Linked DNA regions of Schizosaccharomyces pombe. The protein of the gene in region 2 interacts with the protein of the main gene of each other region in a pairwise test. Each region holds a gene or a part of one and is shown on either strand. Other genes may lie near its edges.

Region 1 (6,232 bases), on a different chromosome or scaffold from region 2:
TTTCTAATGATATTCTGAACATATTAATCACAAATATTCAAAATGCGTAAATTAAAACTATGGATTAGAAATAATGTAAAAAATGCTATAATACAAGAAATCGTTCGTTATACATCCTCAAGCTAAAGCTGTACTAATTTAGACAAAATGCGAACACCATCTACCACTAAAACTGTTAGTATTTGATGAACAATACAACTACGAAAGATCGACTTACACAAACCCCATCTAGCTGGGCACAGCACATCAATGACGCATTTTAATAATGGCAGAGTTTTACTTCGAACGTAGACATGATCTTTAGCTTTCTCACTGAGACCTGTTCTCATTTGCATAAGGTAGGCATTAAGTTGAGACTTGCAGTCGTTATTTCCCGGTTCAAGCATCTCGCACCTTCCATCCGAGACATACCCATAAGCCCAAAGGATTAAGGTCGAAACATATAAGCACCAGGGTCTATGAAGACCTGTTTCATTCTGAACATCATATTCCATATCACCTCCTAAAAAAGCTTCAACCATATCCACGGCGTGCTTAATAGATACTTCAGAATCATCAGAAGCTAACCAAGCAGAAACATAGCGCGATGTACTCGCATAGAGTCTTCTAGAAGTGGAGACTATTGATTTTGCATAGGTTTGTAAAGCAACTATGTTAGTATGCAGCGAAATATGAGCCAATTCATATGTAGCCAAACAGCCTCGCACGTAAGGATGATTGAGTGGTAAAGTACCATTATTTAGAAAGAATACACGGTAGGTACGAAGCCAAAACTTGTAAGATGCTTTAAGTAAAATCCTCCAGTTTTTCAAGTTGGTTCCATTGTTTTGCATGATATTTTCTACAATACCTTTAAAACCAGTTAGTTATTGAAATCGTTAAATTAGAAATTGCAATGCTCGTACCCAAATTCTCTCTACTTAATATCCAACCAATGGTAGTTAATCCGTGCAACACAATCATCATATTCCAAGGACTTAATTTAGGAGGAAGATGCTCGTTTGTTAAGAACATTTTCAAGACGGGAAAGAAATGGGGTGGATCGTTTTCATTTAAGAGAGATGTCCATGCTTCATAGCTATCGGCGTTCCAGAGAGCTTCATCACATAATAGAGGTAAGCCAACGCTAGTGATATCAATTAACGGTCTATATCCAAATAAAATAACATGCTGAGAGTCTAATACAAATGAAAAAAATGCGATTCTAATAGTGTTAATAACCATCACTTAAAGTCACCAGATAAATTACCTTTTCGAGGCTTCTCGATCAACCCACTGATGCCATTTGTGTTGTGCAATATTCGTTCCTGTCATGTTTTTTGGAATTTTCTCGGTGACGGTATCTTTTGAAGACAGCCCATTTTGCATAGACTAGAATTAGTTAGAGAAAGTATTATTTAATATAAAACGCTAATGTAACGAACCTCAATGGTCACACCATGAAAAATTTGAGAGAGGTTGTGTTGTTCCACAGTACTGGTCATTTTTTCAAAAATTTCAGCTATTAAGAGAGCCTGATAAACCCAAAGAGAGGCAGGAGGCTTGAAATCTGGATGCGTATAGATGGAAAATCTTAAAGTTGAATGAATGGAAACAGCAATGCTATATGCGAATGCATCACCAACGAAATGCATACCCATTGTAATCATTGCCAATAAAAGTTCTACAGGTGCTTCGTCAACTTTGAGTGTTCCTCGATGCAGGAAAGGCCACCGGGGGTGAAAATCCTTCCAATAATGAGCAATCCATAAGTTCACCCTACTGCGAGTTATATATTGCAACGCCTCTTCAGAAAGTTGATAATTATTATTCATTACTTGTATTAAAGATGAATATGCGGAAAGTGATAGTAGGTCTTTAGCAACTAGTTTGTCGTCAACTCTAAAATGCGAACTAAGAAAATCAATGGTCGGTGAATCTAAAACTGGCATTAAATTCAATTGCTTTGCATTGATACCATCGGTGAAATTTGAAACTGATTCTGTTGGGGCATCTTTCTCCATGTTATCAAAAAGCCAGCACACGAAGTTATCTGTATTTTGCTGGTAAGCATTAAACGGTGATGTTCCAAAAATAGATATGGAATCTTGAGGAGACAATGACTTATTAGCATTGTTTTTTATTGAAGGGGTTGATAAAAACTTGTTTTGCAAGTTAATTTGCTGGTCGCTTTCAGGAATGGTAATCGAGCCTGAAATGGAGTTATTTCGACGACTAGTGGTAAACATGTAATTGTTTCCCGTCTGTGCAATGGCAGATTGTAGACCTTCATTGAAATTATCGGAAATTATGGGCTGGTCAGGTAATATGGGTTGATCGATATGGCTTTTGAGGTCTGTATAAGCAGCATCCTGAACGTCGGCTTCGACATATGAGGGAAAAGGTAATTCTTGATCGGAAGATGAAATAAGTGTCTTATCATGTTTAGGATGCGTTTGGCTGCCAGCATCGTTCTGCTTTACATGCTTTTGGTTAACATGTCGATTTAGCACATCGCTCCTTGTAAACGAACTGGAGCAGTGAGGGCAAATAAAGGCTTTCGAGTTGGTATCTATAATTAGAAATTAGCGGTTTTATTGAAACAAAAGTCAATTGTAGCAAGTTTCAGAAGGTATGTTTGCTACTACCTATCCAATCCCACATTGCACATACGAGATCGAAAATGCCTTCGTGCATGCTCTTTCCTAGTGAAAGATTTAGTACAGCCTTGAAAATCGCATTTGTAACGAATATCTCCTTCTTGGTATGCACGACTTTTTTTCGCCTTGGTCATGAAGAAACGCAAGTAACCTCACTTTACAGAAAAATAGTGATTAAACAGATTCAACGCAATGATAGCTAACACCTATATTCAAAATTCGTGACAATACATTCAGAAAGAGAAATAAGAAAGAAGAAAAATCTACTTAATTTCCCTAGTCGCTCAAGGTCGTAGTTGTAAAAGACATTTAAATTAGAGGCGTACGACTCCGGATCCGCGGCGGGCAATTCTTCTTATCGAAATAAACCTTCTGGCTATTATACAGGGACTTGTTACCTTATATCTATACTAAGAACCCAAGTAATGTCAGAGCCCTCGTCTTAAGCACAAAATTTTCATCTAATTTTCAAATAAATACTATGTATTTGAGTGACTAATTGTATTGGTCATCTGGCTTGCAGTTGATATTTGAATAATAGTTAAGCTAGCACTACGCAAGATCTATAAACGCAACATTAAATTTCCAATTGCTAAGTTTTATATGTAGATTTATATTTTCTATCAACCCGCCTGTTAAACACTGGTATTTATTTCTATCTTCCCTGTAAATCACAACACTTTTCTGTGTGATCTTGTTAATTCAATGCCCTTTAAGATAAGCATGAGCTAATTTAATCGATTCTGATGCAGATCGGTGAATTGTTGTAATATTGAATACATCAATTCCTGTTCATCGCTATGTTTTAACCCCCGCTTTATCTCGTGATTTAGTGATACGTTATAGCTCGATAATAGCTTGCGTAGAGGGGGTTCTGGCTCAAACTACAGCTAAGCTATCTATCTAATCTCGCAACTCTTAGTCGCTAATCGGCAATGTATATTGAGGTGGATAACGGGGGTACCGGACTTATAGCATTTTGGTACGGGTTTGTATCAATGTCTAAATCAACTGTGTGAAGGATTTATTCGGACTATATAAGTAGTTAGCGTTGCACAGCTGTTTCTTTCGTACATTTAAATTCACTTTCACTTGCGTAACTTAGCTGTACATAGGTTTACAGTGGTAAAGGACAATTGACGCTTTTAATCCTTATACTGTTTTTTTACGATTAACATCTTTTGACGGTATAATCTAATTTTTGTTTTTTGTTTTTTTTTATTTAAAAACAAATTCGATTTTGACGCAAAGTGTGGTATTCCGTAACATCTGTTTAATAGCCTTTTGACCCGTTGATATATTAAAATGGCTTCCAACGTTGATAAATTTAGCTCTCGCTTCTATCTGAATGTCAATAAGGAGGAATTGAAGAAGGAGTATGTTGGCAAAACTATCCAACAAGTTCCTACCCCAGGCTTTGTGATCGACGAAGCCATATTCGAAAAGAACTGCAATCGCATGCTGGACCGTGCAAGTGATATAGGTGTTACTTTCAGGGCTCATGTGAAAACTCACAAAACGATTGAAGGAACTTTGCTTCAATTAGGCGATGGAAGAACTAAAGCAGTGGTGGTTTCTACATTGATGGAGGGGTTTTCATTAATACCTCTCATTTTAGAAGGAAAGATTGATGATCTTCTTTACGGTCTTCCTGTAGCTAAATCTAGGCTCCCTGAATTGTATGAGCTTTCTAAAATTGTCCCACATTTACGTCTGATGATTGATAATCCCAAACAACTAGACATATTACGTGAATTCACTTCCACATTACCTGATGATGCAAAACCATGGTCGATTTTTGTCAAGATCGATATGGGTACTCACCGGGCCGGTGTTACTAACGACTCACAAGTTGTTAAGGATTTGATATCAACGATCTTGTCTGACAAATCGTTGTTTGATCTTTTTGGATTCTACTGTCACGCTGGTCATTCATATGCTTCTAGGTCTATTGACGCTGCTTCTGAGTTCTTGTGTGCTGAAATTGACGCTGCTAATACTGCTGCTAAGTTCGCTACCTCCATTGATCCTTCCTTAAAACTTACTTTGTCTGTTGGTGCGACGCCCACCGCTCATTCCGTCAGTCCAAAGGTAAAAGAGTTATTACCTACTTTGAGTGGAAAACTTGAAGTTCATGCTGGAAACTATCCCATGAACGATGTTCAGCAAATGATAACCAAATGCATCAGCCAGGCGGACGTTGCCGATTACGTGTTTGCAGAAGTCATTAGCAATTATCCAGGTAGAAACGGTGAACCTGGTGAAGTTCTTGTCAATGCTGGTGTAATTGCCATGTCTCGCGAAACCTCTCCAGAAGGTGATTTTGGAATTGTAATTACTCCTGGATTTGAGAGTTTTTACGTCGACAGATTAAGTCAAGAACATGGTATTTTAAAATCCAAAGATCCAAAAGCCACTCTTCCTGACGCCTCTCAAGTTCTTTGCATCATCCCTAATCATTCATGTATCACTGCTGCTGCATTCCCTTGGTATTACATAACCAAAGGCTCAGATGTTATCACTGATATTTGGGTCCCTTGGAAAGGTTGGTAGATGACAAGCTGACTAAATTAGCTTTAATAATAGATTCCTGATCGTGGTTAGATTTCTGCTTAATACGCCTAGAATACTTTTCAAAAAATAATGAATTCAATATATCGCGGAAGTTGTGTTTCTCGAATAATGTATATTTTTTGTTGCTGTTTATTCAGTACTTGCTCTCAGTTGTTCAGCTATTTACCGAAAAGGTATTTCTGATATTTCCGATCTTTCAATTTTACAACGTAATTACTTGTATGTTTTTTTAAAACACCAGGAAAACGAAAGATGTTTGCAGATTAAAAATTACTACTGGTATTCAATATCAAAATAAGGCTAAAGATGTAAAGGTCGCATGCAATAAACTATATACTCGGACTGTGTCAGTACAATTTTACTAACACTTCATAAATGCTTCATAGCAGAGAGGGGCTTTTTGCAAAGCGATGAAATGAATAGGAATGTTGAAAAATGGCCAATGAAGGAACGTATTAAATACTATATAATAATGTTGGCGAAAGTTAAATTATAATAGATAACATAAAAAGTTGTTGAATAGTGTCGATATATGATTGCAAAGGTAGATCAACGTGGTAACATAATGCTTTTAATAGTTCGTATAGGCTGCTTGCCGAGTTTATGTCTAATACGAACCGCTAAATTCTTTAGCAGTAAAAGTCAAGGCGGAATCAAAGATCTCTATTGCTTTGTGAATTTCCTCATCGGTTACTGTCAACGGCGGAGCGATGCGGAAAACTCCACCAATTCCCCTCAAATGAACGATGTTACAGTTCATACCTAATTCCAAACATTTATCTCCAATTACAGTTCCCAAAAAATCACTAGGTTTGCTAGGATCTGTACAAGAAGCAATTTCAATACCTTGCAACAGACCCAGACCGCGTACATCAACAATCAAAGGATGCTTATCCTTTAGACGAAGGAGATCGGATCTAAGTAGTTCTCCTGATATTTTTGCTTTTTCAACTAAGTTATCTCGTTTTACCACCTTCAAAACTGTAGAGCCTATCGCAGCTGGAAGGGGATCGGAAGCA
Region 2 (8,211 bases):
GCCATGTTGGCCATTGTTCGTTTGGGTGCCATTCATTCTGTTATTTTTGCTGGTTTTTCTGCAGAGTCTGTTGCAGACCGTGTCAATGATTCTGAGTGTAAAGTTATCATTACCGCTGATGAAAGTCATCGTGGTGGTAAACGAATCCCTTTAAAGGGTGTCGTTAACAAAGCCCTTACCGAATGTCCTACCATCAAGAAGGTACTCGTCTTCCAACGCTCTGCTGAGCCTACCGCCAGTATGGTTGAAGGTCGTGATGTCTGGTGGCACGATATTATTCCAAAGTTCCCCCGGTATTGCCCTCCTGCAGTCGTTAATCCAGAGCATCCCTTGTTCCTTCTCTACACTTCTGGAAGTACAGGAAAACCCAAGGGTGTCGTACATTGCACTGGTGGTTACCTTCTTGGCGCTGCTGCTACTTGCAAATACGTTTTCGATTTGCATCCCACGGATCGTATGGGTTGTGCTGGTGATGTCGGTTGGATTACTGGTCATACCTATATTGTATACGGCCCCTTAATGCTTGGTGCTGCTACTCTTGTTTTTGAAAGCACACCAGCTTACCCTGATTACTCTCGTTACTGGAGTGTCGTTGAGCGTCACAGACTGACTCAATGGTATATTGCACCAACTGCCATTCGTCTTCTTCAACGTGCCGGTAATGAATTTGTCAAGCACGATCGCTCTTCTCTTCGTGTCTTGGGTAGTGTTGGTGAACCCATCGCTCCAGAGTCATTTATGTGGTACTACGAAGTAGTTGGTGAGAAAAGATGTGCTGTTGCCGATACTTATTGGCAGACTGAAACAGGTTCTCACATTGTTACTTCTTTGGGACCTGTGACACCCATGAAGCCTGGTTCTGCTACGTTACCCTTTTTCGGTATCGATGCAGTCATCATTGATCCCTTGACTGGCAAGATCATTGAAGGCAACGATGTTGAAGGTGTTCTTGCTATCCGCAGTCCCTGGCCCAGCGCTGCTAGAACTGTTTGGCGCGGTCACGATCGTTACATCGACACCTACTTGAAGCCATATCCTGGGTTCTACTTCACCGGTGATGGTGCTACCCGCGATAAAGATGGTTACATTTGGATTCGTGGACGTGTTGATGATGTTGTCAACATTTCCGGCCATCGTCTGAGTACAGCTGAAATCGAGGCTGCTTTGTTGTCTCATGACGCTGTCGCAGAATCCGCTGTTGTTGGTGTTCATGATGAGCTAACCGGTCAAGCCGTCAATGCCTTTATTTTATTGAAACCTGGCTATGAAGCTACAGTCGAACTTGAAAAGGAGTTGATCATGGCGGTTCGATCGACAATTGGCCCCTTTGCATCTCCACGCAAGTTAATTTTCAGTGATCTTCCAAAAACTAGAAGTGGTAAAATTATGCGCCGCATTCTCCGTAAGATTTTGGCTGGTGAAGTCGACCAGATTGGAGACTTGAGTACCTTGGCTGACCCTAAGGTTGTTGAGCACATCATCCATGCTGTTCATTATGCCCATCAGAAGAAGCCCTAGACTACTCGATAATTAGATGTGCGGTGTATATGCTTACTTCTATATAATAATGAGGCGTGTGATACTTTATTTACCAACGTTCCGAAGACCTCACTTATTTAATGTATCTTGTAAAAGTTGGAAGATTTATCGTTCGCGCTAATGAAAGCATATTATGACCGTCATGACTAACGTTATCGCACAGGTTTAGATGTTCACTTTATTTTTGGAGTGCCTGTGTCAAGTTTTTTTTTTTTAGAAAAATCTCTATTAATGGCACTTATAAAAGGTAGCTATGAATTTAAAATGTTGAAGGGGGTTTAACAAATAAAACACCTTTTGCGTACTACAAAAAGTTCATACGGCTAGTGTGAGCGTCTTTTTCATGAAACAGTAAAAGTAAACTATCTTATTGTAGCATACTGAAGAGCCGAGTAAAGAAAGCAATATAAAGATAACTGCACAATTAGGTACATCAATATCGATAGTACGTATGAGTGATAATTACACAATGTCTGTAAGAGAAGCTTCATTCTGATATTGGTAATAACATTACTACTACAATGGAAAATATGAATATGAGAAATCTGTTATTCACTTGAACTAACCAAACAAAAGGAATCTCATTATCAAATCCAACAATAATACTTGCATAATTGGCGGCTACTCACATACGGGTTGTTTTCGAAAATAAGGGCACGAACAAGAAAATCATATAACATATACCAAGACAAAGATCACTTGCCGTAAAACTAGGCCTATTTAAGTCATAACCCGCGCAAGTCATCATAAACGTTCAGCATCACAATAATTAAAATCGTTACAAAAATAGCCATAGAACATTTCAGATGGCTAAGGAGTAAGTATCATGAATCATAAAATTTAGTTTCACAACTAAAAAAAAGGGTTTCAGCTCTAGTAGAATTCTCTTCCATAAGTAATAAGCCGAATCGTTATTGGGTTGTCGGGACAAAAGAAAGTGTAGTTTCACCATAAGGACAAAACATAAAAGATTTTCCTGTCAATTGAAGAACATAGGAAACAATTCCCTCAATTGATTTTAAAGATTTCCATTTCGAGTTTGAGCCAACTCGGTGAGAGCCTGAAAATATCAATTATGAAGGTACTCTAGAGAGGATGGCTTCCCAAAAAAAATTAAACAGGGTGAGAAAACAATAAAAAAAATACCTAGTAAAGAAGAGGCGGGAAAGCATTTGATGGATTTAAAAAAAAACGAAAAAAGTCTGCTATAATTTTCTAAGCCTTAATTTCTTCTTCTTCTTCTTCATCGCTATCACTTGCAATAGCCTCTTCAACAGGCGACTCTGGAATTGCCTCTTGAGCCGGCGAAGGAGGGGCTTCTTTTTGTTCTCCAGGAGTAGGCATATCGTATCCTACAACGTTACAAAACTGTCTCCACAAATGGATCCTGGCAGGGTCCATAGAAGAGATACTCAGACGTTTTGGAGTAGATGTTGCCGATGAAGTAGAGCCATGTGACGCCGACCTCTGATGACCCTGTTCCTCATTGCTGGGAAAGGATAACATAATATTTCGGGTAGTCATTAGAAAATCAGCGTCTGGAACCTCCGCACGAGACTTTTCAAGCCATAATTCCATCAATTGTGTAAACTTTGGTTCGCTGATGGTGTCCCGAACGTTGCGAAAAAACTGATCATTGCATTTAGCAAGGTCCCTCATCTCAGCCGGTCTGTCGTGAAAAGGAAGCAAGATACCCTGACGAATGGGCTGTAAGTCGATATGGACATTTGTACTAAGACGACGAGTAACCATTGTTGAACTATGAAAAAAGCAGGGGACAGCAGTAAAGATAATTCGGTAGTTGAGAGTTTCACAAGAAACAAGAAAAGAAGCTTATAAGAAAAAGGAAAACGTTTTAATATTTAATGGTTTTATTGAACGGAAGATTAAGAAATCTCAACCAAGTAAGAATATTTATGAAACGAGCCAAAAAAAATTCTTGAACAAGTTAAAGAAATCAAAAGACACACAAACAATGGAAAGTTAAGAACCCCAACAAAGATGTGTATGTATCAATGAACAGAAAACTTTAGAAGAAAAAGATTTCGGATAATAAGACTTTAATTTGCGGAATCACCCGAAAGATTCGACGGAATTTTCCTCAATACGTAAGTAGAAGAGTGTTTCTTCTAAAAAAAAAAAAATTTCGAAAACAAACTAAATTCCGTTTCTTTTAAAACAATCAAACTCAGTTTGCAATGAATTCTCAATGAATCGTCAGCCAAGAAAATACTTTGCAAGCCACAATACTGTAAGGAAAGGGTGTAAATCGAAAGTTGAGCAAGCCAAAGCGAAACACAAGAAATTATCACAGAAGATAGATTTATTATAACCTGAAGCAAGGAAAATAAAAGCAGTGCTTGTTAGTGTACCAAATCAGTAGGAGAATGGGTAATATGCTAACGGAAGGTAAGTTGGCAGCGCTACAGCCTTGATCGTCTAAAGAATACGTAAGTGACGTGGAGAGAAGTGTGGGGAAGCCATTCTAAGAATAGCGTGTCATAGCGAGTCGTTAAACAGGGAATGAGAATGAGAGTCAAAGAGCTTGGTTTTTCAAGGTTATTGATATTACAGACCGAGATTTTTTAATGAAACATGTTTAGACATTCGAAAGATGAAGGACGGTATTTTTTTTTCCTCCTGTAAAGAACAGTAAAGGTGGAGATATTGTTGACTAGCTAATTCATTTACACCCTGCGTACTGAAGACGACACTTTTTCAACAAGTTGTTTTTACTTAGTCGCCATAGCTTCCAACAAAAAGTTTCATGTTGCATAGTAGTTGTCGAGAAATCTCTCCTTTGTGGGAAGCGTCTAGCTTCTATTGTTTTTACAGACGAATGTGAAATGATCAACCAAATAAGGCTCCGTAGGGATTTTGGTACAAGTACAAGCGATGAGTTATACCAACGAATATGATAAGGGAGGAAACGAGCGATTGACTCGTGGCACAGGAAATAGGGAGAAGATTGGTAAATGGGATTTTATAGAGCATTGCGAAATCTTCACTAAGAGTGTAAATGGAATGAAAAGTCGTCACCTACTACTTTCAAACTTTTCATGTATTCATGTCAAACTTACAAGCTGACATCTTGATGACTTGTTGGAAAGAGAGAAAATGGAAAATTGCTACTATGACAGAGAATATTAAAAACAACAATAGGATAACGAGACAAAAGACACTATGCAAAAATATTTAAAAAAATGTATAAGGAACTTCAAAATACGAAAAATACAGTATCAAAAGATTTATACACACAACGTTGTGTAACAGTATAATTGTTTAGCGAGAGGTTTGTTAAAATGTGTTTTATGGAGCGTGTTACGAGGCAGCTAATGAAAGAACTCTAAATCGCAAAAAAATATTGTGCGTCTTTTTAAGTATTTCGATAACAGTTATAACAAACATTAACGCTCTAGCAATCGTTATATAAGGAAATATAGAACATCGTAAAAAATATCATAACAATCCATAAAGCTGTAGCAATCATAATATAAGGAAATGTAAAGAAAGCATCCTAAAAATCTATTTTAATATTCTTTTCCATATATAGATAAAAAATGGGTAATTTTTGGTAGTATGGATAAATATGAAAAAGCCATATGTTGGGATTCATGTGATTCCCTCAAAATGTAAGTCTTTTCAAAAAAAATTTAAATCCCCCCAAATACTCTTTATATTCCGTTTTCGGTTCTCTGCATTCTATTCCTTCTATGGTACTTCTGCTTCCCTTTCTCATTCTTTTCCCTTTTTCCACCAGTCATGCAGTCATTATGACTTATAGGATGGAAAGCAACGTTTTGGAAATGAAATGCAACGCAAACTACGAGCATGTCGGAATGCCATTCTGCAACTTTTTTTTTACGCCATTCAAGGGAAAAGGTGGATGATGAAAAAATGATATCTTGGCAAAAGTAGAATTCCAGTATGAGTGTATTAATAACGATATTAAGAAAAAAATAAATAAATTTAAAAGATTAATGATTTCAAAAAAGGTAAACGATAATTCTTGGATGATCTTCTCTACAAACGGCTTTTTCTTTTTATTTACTATTAACTATTAGAGAAACTAACTAGTTTCTCTCGCTCTCTCTCTCTCTCTCTAATGAAAATCCTTCCTCTCATCATACTTGGCGCATTCCAACGCACTTGATATAATTTATACTATAACGTACTACATTTGATGTCCCTATTCTACCTCTTCTCTCCTCTCAAACTCCCTCCCCCCTCTACTTTGCATCCATTAGTCTCTCCTCTCATTCACCTCCTTAATACGATATCATAAAAATGAGGTCCTCCCCTTTCCATCCCCCGACTCTCCACTTTTTGCCCACGTCATTCTCGGACTAACAAGTTGGCTGGTTCTGCTGTCGCATCGGATTGGTTGCCGCTGATGTAGTGGATTGGCTACTGCGACATTTTTCGGTAAGAAGGAGGAACGCGCCACTCCGTTATTGGCGGAAAAGTTCCGTGTCTAGTTGTGCATTACGTTAAAATAAGCTAATCAATCTACTTCTCTTTGACGTCGATTTTGTGGGGTAAACCCCTGTCTTCCAATGGAATGTTTACGTTGGTCGTTTCGCCGCCTTTCGTTGGTTTATTGGGTTTCTGCCATTTTTGGTGGCCCGCTTGCTCGCTTCGATGGAAGAGTCGCTAAGAATTTTTTTTTTCTATATAAAGGCCTTGGATTGATGGTCTTTGGTTCATCAATTCAACATCCCATCTTTACATTCACTTCACTTGGTTTAAGTCAAGTCAAACTTTTCATATAGTTAGTCTCTATAACGTACTCTACCGAATACCTTATAGTCTACGATTTTTTACAAATTCTCTTGATTTTCTAAAAAAACTCTCATTTCTTTACATTCTTACTTTTTTACATTCATCATGCCTTTCCGTGCTGCTCTTCGTAAAGTCCCCGTCGAACTCTATCCTTTAGGTGCTGCTGTAGCTACTGCTGTTGGCTTTGCTACATATAGCATGGGCAAGAAATTGCTCGCAGACCCCAATGTTCATATCGATCCTACCGTTCGTCGTACCATCTAAAACCACCTGGGTTTTTATTGATTTGGCGCGATCGAAACATAGCCATGTGTCCGATTATTATGATCGACTCTGATCGATTTGGATCGACCTCTTATCAACTTTGATCAATCCTAATTCGTCTTTAAATATGCTAGCGCCTTTTGGATGGAAACATACTTTGTTCGTTTCGTTTAAAATGAAAAGAAAAGAACAAATATTTTTTACTGTTAAAAAGCTTTGTTTGAATTCTTAAAAACGCACACTTCTCTGTGTTTTTGAAATTTTATGCATTGAAATAAATTGCTTTACAGCTTCTCTTGATGACAGAATTAAAACCATTTTGCAATGAAAAGAAAAATTATTGCGATTGGAATTTTTTTTCGTTTGTTTATAATTCACATTCATTTCTCTCATCATTGCTGTGAAAACCATTTCATCAACCCCCTTGTCTGTTTGATTGCTCTGTTTTGCATTTGAATTTCCATTCTTCATACTTGTTTGTTCTTAAAAAAAAAAAAAAAGAAGAATTGGATTTTGTGTAACACTTTGCTAATTTTATTATGTGCCTTTATTAAATTTTGCATTCTTTGCTTCTTTTTTTCCAATTTGCACTGTCCATTATTATAATCCTTAATATTCCTTTGTACTGTTAGTTTTAATATTGATTAATGTTTTATTTTTCCAAATATTAAAAAGTTGTGTAAATAAAATGTATGAGTAAGTGTAGCGAGTGATACTTGTTTAATAAGTATAGACTTTGTATAGCGATTCAAGTCTTGCAATGTCTAGTTATATAGTTGAATACAATGCGAAATTGGCAATGCCATAGCCAGAACAATTACAATGGTAGAGCAGTGTTAGTTGTATATGGATACATTAGTTAAATAACTAGTTTGAAAAAAAAAAAAAAATAGTTCAAAACAAAAAGCAAAAAGAATAAAAGGAAGCCTACAGCACCCCGGATTCCCATGTTGTCTCCAACCATAGTACTAACGAGGCCCTCAGACGCTTAACTGCAGTGATCGGACGGGAACTGGTGTTTTCGCCTAGGTATGGCCGTAGACATTCGCAGTGTATAAAGGTAGATTTTATTGTGTAAACTAAACAAAAATTTATAGTTGGTATTTTGCTATAAACAATGACTTAAATTCATACTTATAACAGTAAACACATTAAAAAAAAAGAAAAACACTTTCAAAGAGATAAAAAGAATTCCGGTCAGGGAGGGACTCGAACCCTCGACCTCACGATTAACAGTCGTGCGCAATAACCAACTATGCTACCCGACCTGTTGTTATTATCCACAGTATTATGTCTTACAGAAGGTTATACAACTTTCTTCACTTGAACCACCAACGAAGAAAAAATAATAGAATTTGTTTATGGTCTAACGACTCTTTATCCTTAAACTACCAGACATCCATTTTGTATCACAGTTAATCATGAACCTAAAAACCAACTTTTAATTGAACTTGCTCATCTTGATATGGAAAACAAACAGTGTTAATATTCTCATGATGAAACAACACTACTGAAAGAATAGATGAATTGAAATGAAACTTTTAATCAACAAGATTTTATTGAGAAAAACGAACATTAATGAAAGTTTATTAGGTACTGAAATTTCTAACATTATTTACAAACAAC

Evidence for each region. Proteins that work in one complex are often made in the same cells at the same time.
Region 1: the proteins of SPOM_SPCC191.01 (region 2) and SPOM_SPAC1039.06 interact in a two-hybrid assay, tested with the Schizosaccharomyces pombe proteins (one large-scale study listed by BioGRID).

The regions. Positions count from the first base shown.
Region 1 is NC_003424.3:5,456,623-5,462,854, forward strand, and holds SPOM_SPAC1039.06 (D-serine ammonia-lyase activity), read left to right. Parts: upstream 1-3,709; 5' UTR 3,710-3,944; coding exon 3,945-5,192; 3' UTR 5,193-5,732; downstream 5,733-6,232. Other genes in the region: DNA-binding transcription factor, zf-fungal binuclear cluster type Klf1, read right to left, coding at 123-166, 218-850, 906-1,204, 1,250-1,371, 1,425-2,551, 2,653-2,773; SPOM_SPAC1039.07C (alanine-glyoxylate transaminase), read right to left, coding at 5,821-6,232. UniProt on the Schizosaccharomyces pombe protein: Catalyzes the conversion of D-serine to pyruvate and ammonia. May play a role in D-serine detoxification.
Region 2 is NC_003421.2:1,701,541-1,709,751, reverse strand, and holds SPOM_SPCC191.01 (uncharacterized protein), read right to left. Parts: upstream 3,941-8,211; 5' UTR 3,292-3,940; coding exon 2,755-3,291; 3' UTR 2,018-2,754; downstream 1-2,017. Other genes in the region: acs1 (acetyl-CoA ligase), read left to right, coding at 1-1,518; SPOM_SPCC417.16 (NADH:ubiquinone reductase complex subunit), read left to right, coding at 6,427-6,585; SPOM_SPCC417.15 (uncharacterized protein), read left to right, coding at 6,910-7,041.